2 linked regions of the Ovis aries genome follow. The protein of the gene in region 1 interacts with the protein of each later gene in a biochemical or structural test. Links are inferred from orthologs where the notes say so. Each region holds a gene or a part of one and is shown on either strand. Other genes may lie near its edges.

The links.
Region 2: the proteins of FLNC (region 1) and XIRP1 form a complex in vitro, tested with the Homo sapiens proteins (2 studies listed by BioGRID and IntAct, with this or other methods). The link is inferred for Ovis aries from reciprocal best matches to the Homo sapiens genes FLNC and XIRP1.

Annotation. Positions count from the first base shown.
Region 1 is NC_056057.1:94,517,459-94,523,244, reverse strand, and holds part of FLNC (filamin-C), read right to left. Parts: intron 5,444-5,786; coding exon 5,282-5,443; intron 5,175-5,281; coding exon 4,971-5,174; intron 4,528-4,970; coding exon 4,375-4,527; intron 4,287-4,374; coding exon 4,164-4,286; intron 4,039-4,163; coding exon 3,796-4,038; intron 3,621-3,795; coding exon 3,351-3,620; intron 3,254-3,350; coding exon 3,116-3,253; intron 2,853-3,115; coding exon 2,737-2,852; intron 2,018-2,736; coding exon 1,885-2,017; intron 1,797-1,884; coding exon 1,620-1,796; intron 1,475-1,619; coding exon 1,256-1,474; intron 611-1,255; coding exon 401-610; intron 287-400; coding exon 99-286; 3' UTR 1-98.
Region 2 is NC_056072.1:12,509,904-12,517,269, reverse strand, and holds the start of XIRP1 (xin actin-binding repeat-containing protein 1), read left to right. Parts: upstream 1-3,223; 5' UTR 3,224-3,363; intron 3,364-6,284; 5' UTR 6,285-6,288; coding exon 6,289-7,366. UniProt on the Homo sapiens protein: Protects actin filaments from depolymerization. Required for correct cardiac intercalated disk ultrastructure via maintenance of cell-cell adhesion stability, and as a result maintains cardiac organ morphology, conductance and heart beat rhythm.

The sequences.
Region 1 (5,786 bases):
CCCATTTGTGTGTGTGTCTGTGTGGGTGTGTGTCTGTGTGTCTGTGAGTGTGTTTGGCCAGAGGTGGGGGCCGAGGCTGGGGGAGGCACTTCTGGGATTCAGGGCACATTGACTTTGAAGGGGCTTCCGGGGACACTCTCGTCGCCCCACTTGACGATGAGGATGTAGTCCCCTTTCTCCTTGACGGTGTAGGTGACGTTGTACACCCGGTTCCCCATGTGCTTCACGTACACCTCCTCGCAGGGGGTCTTGGGCCCGTGCACGCCCACCATCATCATATTGGTGCCTGGAGAGAGAGGCGGCGAGGGACAGGCTCACCCCCAGCCCTTGGCCCCATGTTCGCGCACACTTGCCCACCCCGGGAGACCACCCCCTCTCTCCCGCTCCGCCCGCTGCCTGCCTGCTTTGCTGCAGTCCACGGTGAAGGAGTTCTTCTGGCCCACAAAGGCCTGGGACAGCCCGGGGCCCCGCGTCACCACCTTGCTGGCATCTGAGGAGAACTTGGGGATGGAGCTGTAGCTGGAACCCCGGCTTGAGGACGACTTGGTCACAGTCTCCACCAGAACCGTGGATGTTTCATGAAGGCTGTGGCCTCCAGAGAGCCGGGGACCTGAGGGGCAGGGTGGGGTGGCCACGAGCCGGGTCAGAGGCCTGCTCTCCCCGAGGCGGTAGGCCCCGGGTGGCGGTCCTGACAGCCCCGGCCCCCTTCCTCAGCTCCAGCATCCTGGGAGCAGCGGCCCATTTCACACAGAGCTCTTGGGCAGGCTCATCACCAGGTCTGGGGCCTCCATGGCTCTGTCCACCCACCTCCAACCCTCTGGCTTTGTCTGGGACCCCAAGTCACACAGTAAGTAGAGCCCTGCTTTAAAAAGGAACAAGTATCCAACCAATCCTTCACACAGCTTCCAGAAGGAAAATCAGGTAAATGTCTGCTGAGCTCTGTATTCCTGGAAGCCAGAAACGGGGATGCCAGGAGGGCAGAGTTCAGTGAAAACTTGGGGAGCCACCGCAGGGAAAAGATTAGTCAAGGGATGGACAGTAGAGAGGGATTTGATTTTTTTAAAATGATGTACACAAGTCCACACATAGAAGGTGGAGAATGGCACATTGTGTAAAGCCAGCCCCACTTTATTCCTGGTAACCTGAAACACTGATATTTGGGGCCAACTCTGCCCTGGATGTGAATAGCCACTGGAGCCAGCCCAGGATAGGCTTCCAGCCCAGGGTGAGACCTCACCCCACCCAGGACGCTCACCTGTGACTTTCGCCTTGAAGGGGCTGCCCACGATGTGCTGGGGGCCACCATACTTGATGGCAATGAGGTAGTTGCCAGGAGCCATGGGCGTGTAAGTGACCACGTGACCCTCAGGACACTCCCGACAGTCCAGCTGCACCTTGGATGGGCCGTCAATGGTGACAGACAAGGCCCCTGAGCCTGCATTCAGGGTGTTGACGATGAACTCTGACGACACACCTGGGGACCAGAGGTAGCAAGGATGTAGGCAAGAAGGGCTTGGGGCCCAAAGCTGGGATGGGCCCAGGCTCCCCGGAGCAGACCTCTGCCAGGACTTGGGGCTCATCAGCACTGTCCACCCCTCTCCCCAGCCCCAGGCACTCACCTGTAGTGCCTCCCTCGAGCCCAGGACCATAGGCCGACACCAAGCCTGGGTCCCCAGCCTGGCTCTGCTCCCCAACTCGGATCTTGAAGGGACTGCCAGGGATATGGGCACCATTGAACTTGACGTCGATGGAGTGGACGCCATTCTCATGGGGGATGAAACGGATGGTGTGCTTGTCTGTGGGGACAGAGGTTGGTCAGTGAGCCTTAGTCTTTTCCCTCCCCTTTCCAGAAGGTCCTAGCCTGGCAGGGACAGGCCAGCTCACCACTGTCCAGCTCGGAGACGTAGCACTCCTCCACTGCACCTGAGGGCGTGTGTACCCTAGCATCGATCACGCCCCGTGCGCCATTCAGCTGCACCGCAAAGGACGCCGGCTGGTTCACCTTGAGCCCGGTCTCCTGCAGACACCACAGAGGGTGCTCAGACTTCTGGGAGGGCCTGGAGGGCTCATGTCTGCAGCCTAGCACTGATATCCCTTCCTGCCCAGCCTGGAGGCTCCCTCCTCCCACCCCCAGCTGCCCCCTGCTGCCTGGCCCAGCTCAGGGAGGCTCTGAACAAGGCTGCGATGGGAGGCAGAGGCTGGGTCTTTGGCCTTGGCAACCACCTGCTATGGGGTGGGGCCACCTGGCTGTGCCCGGCATGGTTGGGGACCAGAGATGATGTGCCCTGTCCTGGCTGGGGAGGTAAGACCTGGATACTATAAAGCCGGCCTGATAGAGAACCCAGTGCTGGGACAGCATTGTGTGGACTGCGAGAACTCAGTAGCTGGGATGGGAAAGAGACATGTGGGCTGGACTGCCCTGGGGGCACTTGATGGAGAAGGTGGGGCTGATTGGGCGGCTTGAGGGCGGGTAGGTCGTGAAGATGAGGCCAGTTCTAGGATGGGGAAGGGGGAGGAGGGACACAGTGGCACCTGAGGCTTCCAAGACTACCCCAAGGGGCAGCTAGTATAGCTAGAGCCCCCTGTTGTCCAAACACTGGGAGAGAGGGGCCATCTGTCTGGACCTTCCAAGGTCACTGCTAAGTCCCTGGTCACATGGAGCTGCCATCCTCTACTCCTGCCCATCTCTCAGGGTGGCAGGAGGGCCTCATCCCCCCCTCCACCCCGGGCACACACCTGGAGGCTGGTGACAGTGAGACGGCGAGCATCATCTGAGAGGGAGGCCACGGGTACCACGAAAGGGCTGTCTGGGATGTGCTCGTCGTTGAACTTGATGGAGACCTCGTAGTCACCTGGGGAGAGAAGACCAGTCAGCGCAAGCTCCAGGACGGGGGGCAGCAGCAGGGGAAACGACCCCACCCTGATCTCAGGCCCGGACAAGCTCCTAGGTCGAGCTCAGCTCTGGAGACACGTGTTCCTGGGGGTGTAGGGTGGAGGGAAATGGGCAGAGAAACTGCAGTGGCCCAGGTGAGGGGTTGGTTTGGGAGCCCCATCTCCTGCCGGGCTGAGCAGAAGCCTGGTCTGGAAAGTCAGGCAGGCCCAGCAAGATGCCCACCTGGCTCCTGGACGACATAGGAGACCCCACATGAGCCATCCTTGCGATCCTCAAATGCAATTTCCGCCTTGCTGGGACCCTCCACAGCAATTGATAGGCCCCCGGCACCTGCTTCTCGGGTCCAGATGCTGAACTCAGCTGGAGACAGAAATGGGACGGGGCAACTCTTAGCACTGTCGCCCATCCTGCTGGCTGTCCTGCCCCCATCCCTCGTCCCGGGCACCCGCCCCCTTACCTGGCACGCCAGCCACCCCTCGCTCCAGCCCTGTGCCTCCAGCCCGCACCTTGTGGGCACCGCCTTCACCCAGCGGCCCCACGGTGAACTGAAAGGGGCTGCCTGGCACATGCTGGCCGCGGTACTTGACAGTGACTGTGTGGGGCCCCATCTCCTGGGGCACAAAGCGGACGCTGTACGCGCTGTCCTCCCCCTCCACGATCTCGGCGGCTTCTGTCTTGCCCGACGGGCTGGTCACCTGTGCAGTCATGTCCTGAGAGCTGGCCTCACCTGCAGGGGGTGGGGAGTGTCAGGGCGACACCGGGGCTGCCCCAGGCCCTCGCCCTTCCCTCCCTCCCTCCCTCAGTAAACACCCCCTCCTCTGCTCAGACCAGCAGCCTCCCCATGCTGTCCCAAGGGACAGAAGGCCCACCTCCCTGTGAAGAGCCCAGCTGGTGCTGCTCACCCTCCTGCTGCCGGGTGATGCTGCCAAAAGAGCCCAGGCGCTCCCGGCCCAGGAAGTCCCCGAAGACGGCGGGGAAGGGGTCTCCGCCAACCTGGGTGGACTCCTCCACCCGCACCTCGCGCTTGGTCTCCCCGCCCCGCGTCTTGCTGATCTCTGTGCGCTCTGTGCGGGTGTATGTGTGGCTGCTGCGGGTGAAGGTGCGTGTCAGGCGCTCCTGGGCGGACACCATCTGGAACCAGTTCCCTGTGGGACAGGTAGAGCCGGCGGAGGGGAGGGAGGTGAGAAGTTAGCCAGAAGGACAGAGGCCCCGGGGACAGGCTCTGGGCCCTCCCCACAGCCCCACCCCACCAGGCTCTTCCGGTGCCCACCTGGGATCTTGAGGTTGAGGTCACAGGTGCTGCCGATGGTGGCGATGGACGGCGCCTGCCTGCGCCGGGTGATGCTTTCCTTCATGCGGCCCTCACCAGTGACCTTCACTGTGAAGGGGCTTCCTGTAGGGACAAGAAAGAGCGGGTCAGCCACCTCAGGTCACTCATCTCCGGCCTCCTGGCCTGTCCCGGCCACAGCCCAGAGCCTTACCAGGCACGTGCTTGTCGGCGAACTTGATGTTGATGATATAGGTGCCAGGTTCGGTGGGGCAGTAGGTAACTTTGCACGTGCCATCCTCCATGTCCTCACAGTTGATGTCCACCTTGCTAGGGCCTTCAATACTCAGCCCCAGGCCCCCATAACCTAGTGGGAGGCAAGGGACACGTCTCCCTCAGTCCCCACTGCCATCTGCTCTCCCCTCCCCAAACCGCAGGCTCTGCCCAGAACAGACACCCAAGGGGCACCGTAACCACTAAGGAAAGATAGCTCAGTAGAAGAAGGAGGGGTGAGCCAGGCAGTGACCCAAAGGGTCAGGGATAGGTAGTCTGGAAATTTCTCTAAGGCAGGCCTCTTGGGTTTTGGTGAGCGAAGGAGAGACAAACTCAGGATGGCTGAGCTTTCTCTTAGACACAGAAGTGACAGGGGGACATTTATTCTTCCCAGGTGGGCCCCAGAATGGGAATCTCAGCAGAGACTGGGCCAGGAAGTTCCGGAGGGGAGGTTATGGTCCGGGGCGCTGGGAAGGAAAGGACTGGTCCCAACTTGAGGCACCAGCTGCAGTGAGGGGTCTCCGGGGCGAGAAGCACCTGCATTCCGAGTGTCCACGATGAACTCCGCCACCTGGAACGTGTGTCCTTCGGACAGGCCCTTGCCCCAGACCCGCACCTTGCTAGCATCCCCAATCTCAGACGGTCCCACCAGGATCTTGAAGGGGCTGTTGGTGACATGCTTGCCGCTCTTGCGCACGCTTACCACATGCTCCCCAACTTCTTTGGGGGTGAAGGAGATCCCTGTTGCGGGGGAGGTCAGGCATGAATGGAGCTCTGGGGCTGGCAGTAGTCCTTTCCCAGCTCCCCCACCTTTCTCCCCTGGGCCCCTCCCATGGCACCACGCTCACCGATGTGCCGGTTGGGCAGACGCTTCAGCAGACAGGGCTCCTCGTTGCCCGAGGGGGCACGGATGCTGGCGGTCAGCTGGCTCAGGTCACTCTCAGTGATCTTCAGGGACACATCCGTGGAGGTGCCCACGTTCAGCTGTGACGTCCTCATTGAGTCATCACCTAGGGGAGAGTTGGCATGTCAGGCAGGGTGACTCCAGGCAAGCCCTTCCCTTGGTATCAGGAGACCCCCTGGACTCAACAGAGCCTTTGCCTGCCCCCCTCAACCCCCAAAGCAGGCACAGAGAGACCGGGGAGAGCACAGTCTCCGTGCACATGTTAGGGGCCCAAGATTAGGGATGAGTCAGCACCCCAGTCCTGAATGGGTTAAACCCCTAATTTACATAAATTTAAATTCCGAGTCAGGTAACTTGGTAGAACCAAAAAAGAAAACTGAGACTAAACCACACACAGCCCAGATCCCTTACCTGCTGTGTGTTGCCCCTCCGGGCCTACTGGTTTCCTC
Region 2 (7,366 bases), on another chromosome or scaffold:
CTCCTCCTCACTTTTAGCCCCTCACCCCCTTCCTCCCCTCCCAGTGAAACCACTTGCACCCAAATGCTCTTCTTGGACTCTGCTCTTGGAAGATCCCAAACTAACACACTAGAATATAGAAAGCAGGCAGACTCTCAGAGGTCATAGAAATAGGAAGACAGGCTGGTGAGAGTGGTCTGGCACCAGGGCCCACACGACCCTCACGGCACGGCCACCAGACTCCCACGGCAGGAGGCGGACACTCTCCCCTCAAATCTGCCCACCTTTGAGCTGCCCCCTGAGCAGCGCAGAAAGTCCCTTCTGCAGGTTCAGAGGATTTTGTCAAGAGGCTGAGCTGACCTGTCCTACAGCCCTGGAACAGACACGCCCTGGCCAGCCCAGAGCAGACACCCGTGTCTGCTTCCCAGCTGGAGGGAGGCCAGGACTACCAGCCAGGGCTTTGAAGGACACTTGCCATCAGACCCAGAGGATACACTGGGATCTGGGACCAGGGAAAGTTGCCGGTGGTGGGGACCCAGGGGAGAATGTATTGAGCTTAATCATCAGTTGAGTTTACATATGCTGGGCACTGTACCCGATGTGGTGTGTGTGTGTAACAGATGTGTGCTCCTCACAGCAGCCTTTTGAGGTATACACTGTTATTATGCCCATTTTATAGGTGAGGGAACTGGCGAACAGACAGGGTGAGTAACTTGCCAACGTCACACAGCTAGTAAGTGTCACAGACAGGATTCAAACTCAGGTAGGCAGCCTGGCTCTGAACCTTCCCTGCGTCCTGCCTCATTCAAACTCAGGTAGGCAGCCTGGCTCTGAACCTTCCCTGGTTCCTGCCTCTCCTGAAACATCAGGTGAGTCTACTGCCAGCTGCTCACTGAGCCCTGCCAGAGTACCTGTTTTCCTGGGAGACAGGCAGGGGCTTCTGACTAATCCCCAACTTCAGCAGAGCCCCACTGAAGAGGGATGGACTGACAGAGGAATGTGCCCTCAAGACCAGGAAACACTAAGCTCCAGAAGCAGTGGGGGTGGGGGGCAGGTTGTAATCACTGAAAAATCCCTCTCCGCCTTCCCTCTCCATTCCCTCCCTGCCCTTCTGCCTTCTGAGAGATCAATTAACCAGCACAGCCATTTGACCTCAGGATAACCATTTACTCCCAGCCCCCTTCCCAAAATGATTTGAGGTGGCTTTTAAAAAGATAACTGCCCAGCATCCCCACCACCAAAGATACTCTGATGAATAATGCCTGACCACTGCCTTAATGGCCATATCACTGACACCTTGATGATGTGATTTTGTTAGATCATTACACATAGGGTGACCAGCTCAGCCTGTTTTTCTTTGAACTTTCCCAGTTTTAAAATTGAAAGTCCCTTGTTCTGCGAAACCCCTCAGAGACAGGCAACAGGGCCAGTTGTTTACCCCCATGACACAGGATACAACCCACAGCGTCTACCTGCTGAAAGTCTAAACATTTAGCTCAGAGTGTCCTTGGAGCCAAGGCAAAGAAGGAAACACCACCCTCAATGAGAGTTTCAGTGTCTGTGATAGTGCTATCACACTTCCACAGTGATGGAAACATTTTGTACTCTGCTCCATGGAGCACTTAAAATGTGGCTAAAGGGATGCAGGAACACAATTTTTCATTTTGTTTCATTTTAACCTGTTTAAATAGTCTCATGGGGTTAGTGGAAGTTGTCTTGGACAGTACAATTGTATTAGATAAAAACAAACCAGGCATGGGAAATTTCTACCATGAGTTTATCATATTTGCAGTGAGTACAAAAGAGGATTCCAACCAGGTACGTTCCTTTTCTTACGTATGTAATAACCTGTGCATCAGGCCCTTGGATAACCCAGGCCATGTGCTGAGCACTCTCACAAAACCCTCTAATATGTGAATTCATTCAAGTCTCAAAACCACCCCAGAGGGCAGGCACTAAGGCTCCTCTTCCCTTGGCCCGAGAGGATGGGTATCTTCCTGCCCTTCCCAGGGAGAGACAGGATCCGGGAAATAGGTGCTAGGGCAGCAAAGGGCAAAAAGGCCGGAATCAGAGGAGGCCAGGGAGGAGGGCTCCCCGTTGCCCCTCTTCTCACCCCAGGCCAATGCTGCCTGCCTGACACTGACTCAACGGAAAGAGTGAGCAGTGCCTGGCATCACTTCCTGGCACCAGAGGGCCCCCAGGATGTCAGAAGACCTTGTTCTGCCAGGTAGCAGAACACAACTTCGACATGGAACCAGGCAAAATGCCTCCGTCGCTTGTGCTCTGCATGGTCTCCCGATGCCCCTCGCCACACTGCCCTTCCCGGCCTAAATGCCAGGATCTCTGGAGCTACTAAGCCCCTCGGGCTCTGGGTAGCCAAGGAGGGGCAGCCGTGACCCCCACACACAAACACACACACATACTCCTTCTGTGACTGGAAGCTGATGACTCCGGGTCAGAAATAACCCCAGAGTCAGCTCCCCGTGTGCTGCCCCTCCCCTCCTCTCTGTTCCCAGAAAGCCTGGGCCCTGAGTCAGAGGCCAGAGCCTGAGAGTAAACAACAACCCAGATAATCTGCTGGGAACACCGCAGACCATGCTGCGGAGCCCTCTGCCAGACCTGGACCCCGTGGAGAACTGGGGCCAGAGGTCTTTCCCCCAAATTCAGCTGTGTGCACTCAGGGCTGTATACACCTGTGCGGTGGGACGCAGGGAGGGATGGAAGAGACAGCGGAAAGGTCTAGTGCAGGAGTGGGGAGAAGAAGGGCCTTACTCTCAGGGGTATCCGGGCTGAGAACTGAGGAGCAAGGGCCTAGGCCTGCCCTCAGGGGGCCTCCAGTCTCCTGGCAGGGTGGGACATAGTCACGCCACACGTCAGACATAGTCAGAGGCTGGGGTAGGGACGTGGGGGATCACAAGGTGGGGGGCCAAGCTGACCAGGTGTCAGATGCGCCTCCTTATTCATTCCCTCAGAATAGTCTGGGATGTCCGCACCCCACACCACAGCTGAGTCACTGACCCCAATCCTCAGAGGAGACTTGGATGAATGAAGCTCTCCCCCGCTCACTCCTCTTCCCCTCCCTAGCAGAAAGGACATGTAACTGATGCCCGAGATGGAGAATAACTTCCAGAGCCCTAAAAATAACTGAACCACTTCATACTCTGACCTTCGCCTCCCCCCACCCCCCCACCTCGGCCCACCCCCTAACCAGCCAGATAAAGGCAGCTGCTGAGCCTGGCAGGGGACACAGACCCCGAGCCAGGGCAGCGAGAAGGTGTCCGACGGGGCCAGCAGAGCGAGAGCAGCCCAAACCAGAGGCACGACAGAGCCGTGGGCCACACCTGCCGAAGACCCCAAACCCCAGCAGCCAGGCAGAGCCCGCAGGTGAGTGAGCCGTTCCTTTCCTCGCCACACCAGCGGGGCTGGCTTTCCAGGCCGGGACCCCCTCCGGCCCCTCTCAGGGCAGTGCGTATTAGTGAAAGTTCTGAGTGAGGGGAGGAAGGTGGGGCCACACGTCTGGAGCAGGTGAGTGGAGGGGTCTGATATGAAGATTCCACAAGGAAGTTGCCAGACAATTATTGTGAGCCCCATGGTAGCGTTCGGCCTGGCTGGCACAGGCCTGAGGCCTACAGAGGGGCAGGTTCCAGCCAGTCTGGCGTAATCCAGAAAGGCTTGCTGGAGGAGGTGGTCTGGGGTTGTGATTTTTAAAATCAGGTACGGAGCTCCTCAGGCTTCAGGCTTTCTTTCCAAGGAGCCCCAGCTAGGCCCAGTGTCTGGACAGAAGAGGCGGGGGAGGACACGGGGGTCTGACTGTGCTGCCAGGACAAGCCCTGTGCCCAGCTGCTGTGGGTAGAAGTCTTGACATAGCTGGCTCGGGAATGTCTCCCCAGGGCTGGCCTGAGCCCAGCACCCCGCATGGCCTAGGGCCTGGGTGTGATGTGGGCCATCAGCGTGCCCAGTAGGACAGCCTTAAGGAAGACCTGGGGGTAAAGGTGGGTGGCCAGGTCTGAGCGCTAGAGTATACTGCCCAAGTATAGAGATGCGTGAAGGGGTCTGGGCCAGGAAAGAGCAGACTTGGAGGCAAAAGCGGGGGTCACCCGGAGAGGCTGGCCCAGGCCTGGGAGGCCAAGCTCAGGGGCACCCCTGGGGTTCAGGCCTTACCCAAAGCCTGGTATCAGTTCTGGATTCGGCCTTCACCGCACCTGGTCCCCATCCTTGAGAAACGAGGTGGGGAGGCCTTGCTACCGCCTGGTGGAGCTGCCGGGGTCAGCTCCTTCCCCTCTTGGGGCCGGTTTCCCCTTCCAAACAATGAGGGGATTGGGCCCAGTGACCTCGGCAGGTCCTCAGCTCTGCCCTCTCTGGACTCTGATTCGATCATAAGTGACCACAGCAGGGATTCTGGAGATTCCTGGGGGAGGCGGTGGAGGCAGGGTGGAGCTGGTGGCCCGTACCTGCCATCTGCTCAGGCCACACTGGTGACGGCAGGGAGGACGTGGGGACCATCAAGGTTTGCCTTTGGTCGGGGGGTCCTCATGAGAACCCAGGCTAAAGGAAGCACCTAGAGTGCGTGATGAGACTTGGACTGTCGACTTTAGAGGTCATACTCCTTGGATGTCTTCAGAGGACAGGCTGGGGTGTGGGTGGAGCAAGCAGGGCTTAGTCTCCCCCTGCTGAGGTAGTCGAGAGAAGGAAGTCCCTCCCCCACCCCCAGGTTCCTGTGGCCAGAAGCACTGGTCATCCTGCAGCCAGAGGCCAAACACCAGCTCAGCAGGCAGGATCAGGGAGCCCAGGGCAGAGAAGGAACCAAGGGGGGTCAGGCTCCCAGGGTCCCACTGGCTGAGCCGGACCTCTCCCCAGCCCAGGGCCGCTGTGTGGAGGCCAGCACCTCGGCTATATTTAGCACTGAGCGTGGAGCAGAGCTGTGGGTCAGGGGCAGTGAGGGGGGGACGTGCTTCTCATTCTTTCCCTACTGGCCTCTGGGGACTGTTAGCACACCTGTCACAAGACAGATAAGACAGCGAGGACAGAGGCCAGAGAAGGTGGGCCAGGGGCGTGGGGGCAGTGCCTTGGCGGAAGCTGATGGGCACGAAGAGGGAGAAAGAAGGCGTGCACAGGAGACTCGTGCTGCACACAGTTGGGGACGGGGGTCCGTGAGCAAGGGGTGAGGCTATCGCTGCAGGAAGGCCCTCAAGTCTCACTGCCTCCCCTCCTGGGGTGTCTGCTGGGAACAGAGGGCCACCACAGCCACTGAGAAAGCGTCACACTTCCTACCTAAAGTGTTTCGAAACCCCGATCCAGCACTGCTTGCGCCTCATTCACCAAGATCTGACTCTGGACCCTGGTTTCCTCATCTTTAATCAAGAGTGGTTGGGCCAGAAGCTTCTAGAGGTCCCCCTAGCTCAGAAAACCCCTAGCTAGGATTCAGAATTGGGTTCTGCCTAACTGCGAGACAACTGGTGGACACTCACTCAGCCTTACTGCTTCTGCTGCAGCAAGAGCTGCCGGCCCCTGCTTGGCCTCCCTGGCCTGAGAAAGGAGAGCCAAGAGCTAAAGGCGGGACAGCCCCCCAGTGAAAGGGACAAGTGCGCCCTCTGGTGGTGAGAAAGGAAACGTGACTGATAACTAGTTCTCTCCATGAGAGTCACCAGTTTGTGTGCTCACTTAGTCATGTCCCTGTCCAAACCTTTGTGACTCCATGGACTGCAGCCCGCCAGGCTCCGCTGTCCATGGGATTCTCCAGGCAAGAATACTGGAGACCAAGCCCTCCTCCAGGGGATCTTCCCACCCCAGGGATCAAACCTAGACCTCCCTCATTGCAAGTAGATTCTTTACCGTCTGAGCCACCAGGGAAGCCCAGTCACCAGTGTAGGGACCTGCTTCTCCCTGGCTGGGATCCCTTAAAAATCAGAATTCCCCCAGGCCACTCACCTGGGAGTCTACCAGGGAAAAACTGATTTTGGCAAAAGCAAGCAAGGATGGGACAGGACAGGAACAGTTTTCCCACTGTGGGGTTGGGCACCCGTTAACTGGAAGACAGAGTTTCAAAGCCTGTAGTGCCCTGCTGGCGCCGTGACAACCCAGGTGATTCTGGGGGAGCAGGGACCCACCTGATGGATGGCTCTATATGCCTTAAGTTCAAGACTAGTCACACAGCAACCATTCAGGTAGCAGGGTGAGACCCCGGGGAGGTCTGGAAAGGGGGAGGGGTGGTCTCTAAGCACACGCCACCTAGGGCTACTCTGCAACCAACCCCCATCTCACTGAAATCCCCCAACCCCATCCTCATCTCTGCCCCCTCTCTTCAGAAGGATGGCCAGTGCCCAGATGCAGGTGGCCCCCACCCCAACCATCCCGATGGCAGCTACAGAGGACCTGCCCCCCCCTCCACCACCTGCCCTGGAGGACCTACCGCCGCCGCCACCCAAGGAGTCCTTCTCCAAGTTCCACCAGCAGCGGCAAGCCAGCGAGCTCCGCCGCCTCTACAAGCACATCCACCCCGAGCTCCGCAAGAATCTGGCTGAGGCCGTGGCCGAAGACTTGGCTGAGGTCCTGGGTTCCGAGGAGCCCACCGAGGGCGATGTCCAGTGCATGCGCTGGATCTTTGAGAACTGGCGGCTGGATGCCATTGGGGACCATGAGAAGCCACCTGCCAAGGAGTCCGTGCCCGGTGGCAACGTCCAGGCCACCTCCCGCAAGTTTGAGGAAGGCTCCTTTACTAACAGCGTAAACCAGGAGCCGGCCGGACCTCGGCCATCCGGAGGGGACGTGCGTGCAGCCCGCCAGCTGTTTGAGACGAAGCCGCTGGATGCGCTGACGGTTCGTGCTGAAGCACCAGAGGCTACAGTGAGGGAGCCTGCAGCCAGCGGAGACGTCCAGGGTACCAGGATGCTATTTGAGACACGGCCACTGGACCGCCTTGGCTCCCGCCCCTCCACCCAGGAGCAGAGCCCCTTGGAGCTGCGCTCAGAGATCCAGGAGCTGAAAGGCGATGTGAAGAAGACGGTGAAGCTGTTCCAAACAGAGCCGCTGTGTGCCATCCAGGACTCAGAGGGCGCCATCCACGAGGTCAAGGCCGCCTACCGGGAGGAGATCCAAAGCAATGCAGTGAGGTCTGGCCGTTGGCTCTTCGAGACCAAGCCTCTGGATGCCATCAACCGGGACCCCAGCCAGGTGCGGGTGATCCGCGGGATCTCCCTGGAGGAGGCGGCCCGGCCCGATGTCAGCGCGACTCGCTGGATCTTTGAGACACAGCCCCTGGATGCCATCCGGGAGATCTTAGTGGATGAGCAGGACTTCCAGCCATCCCCGGACCTTATCCCTCCTGGTCCAGATGTTCAGCAGCAGCGGCGTCTGTTTGAGACCCGAGCATTAGACACTCTCAAGGGGG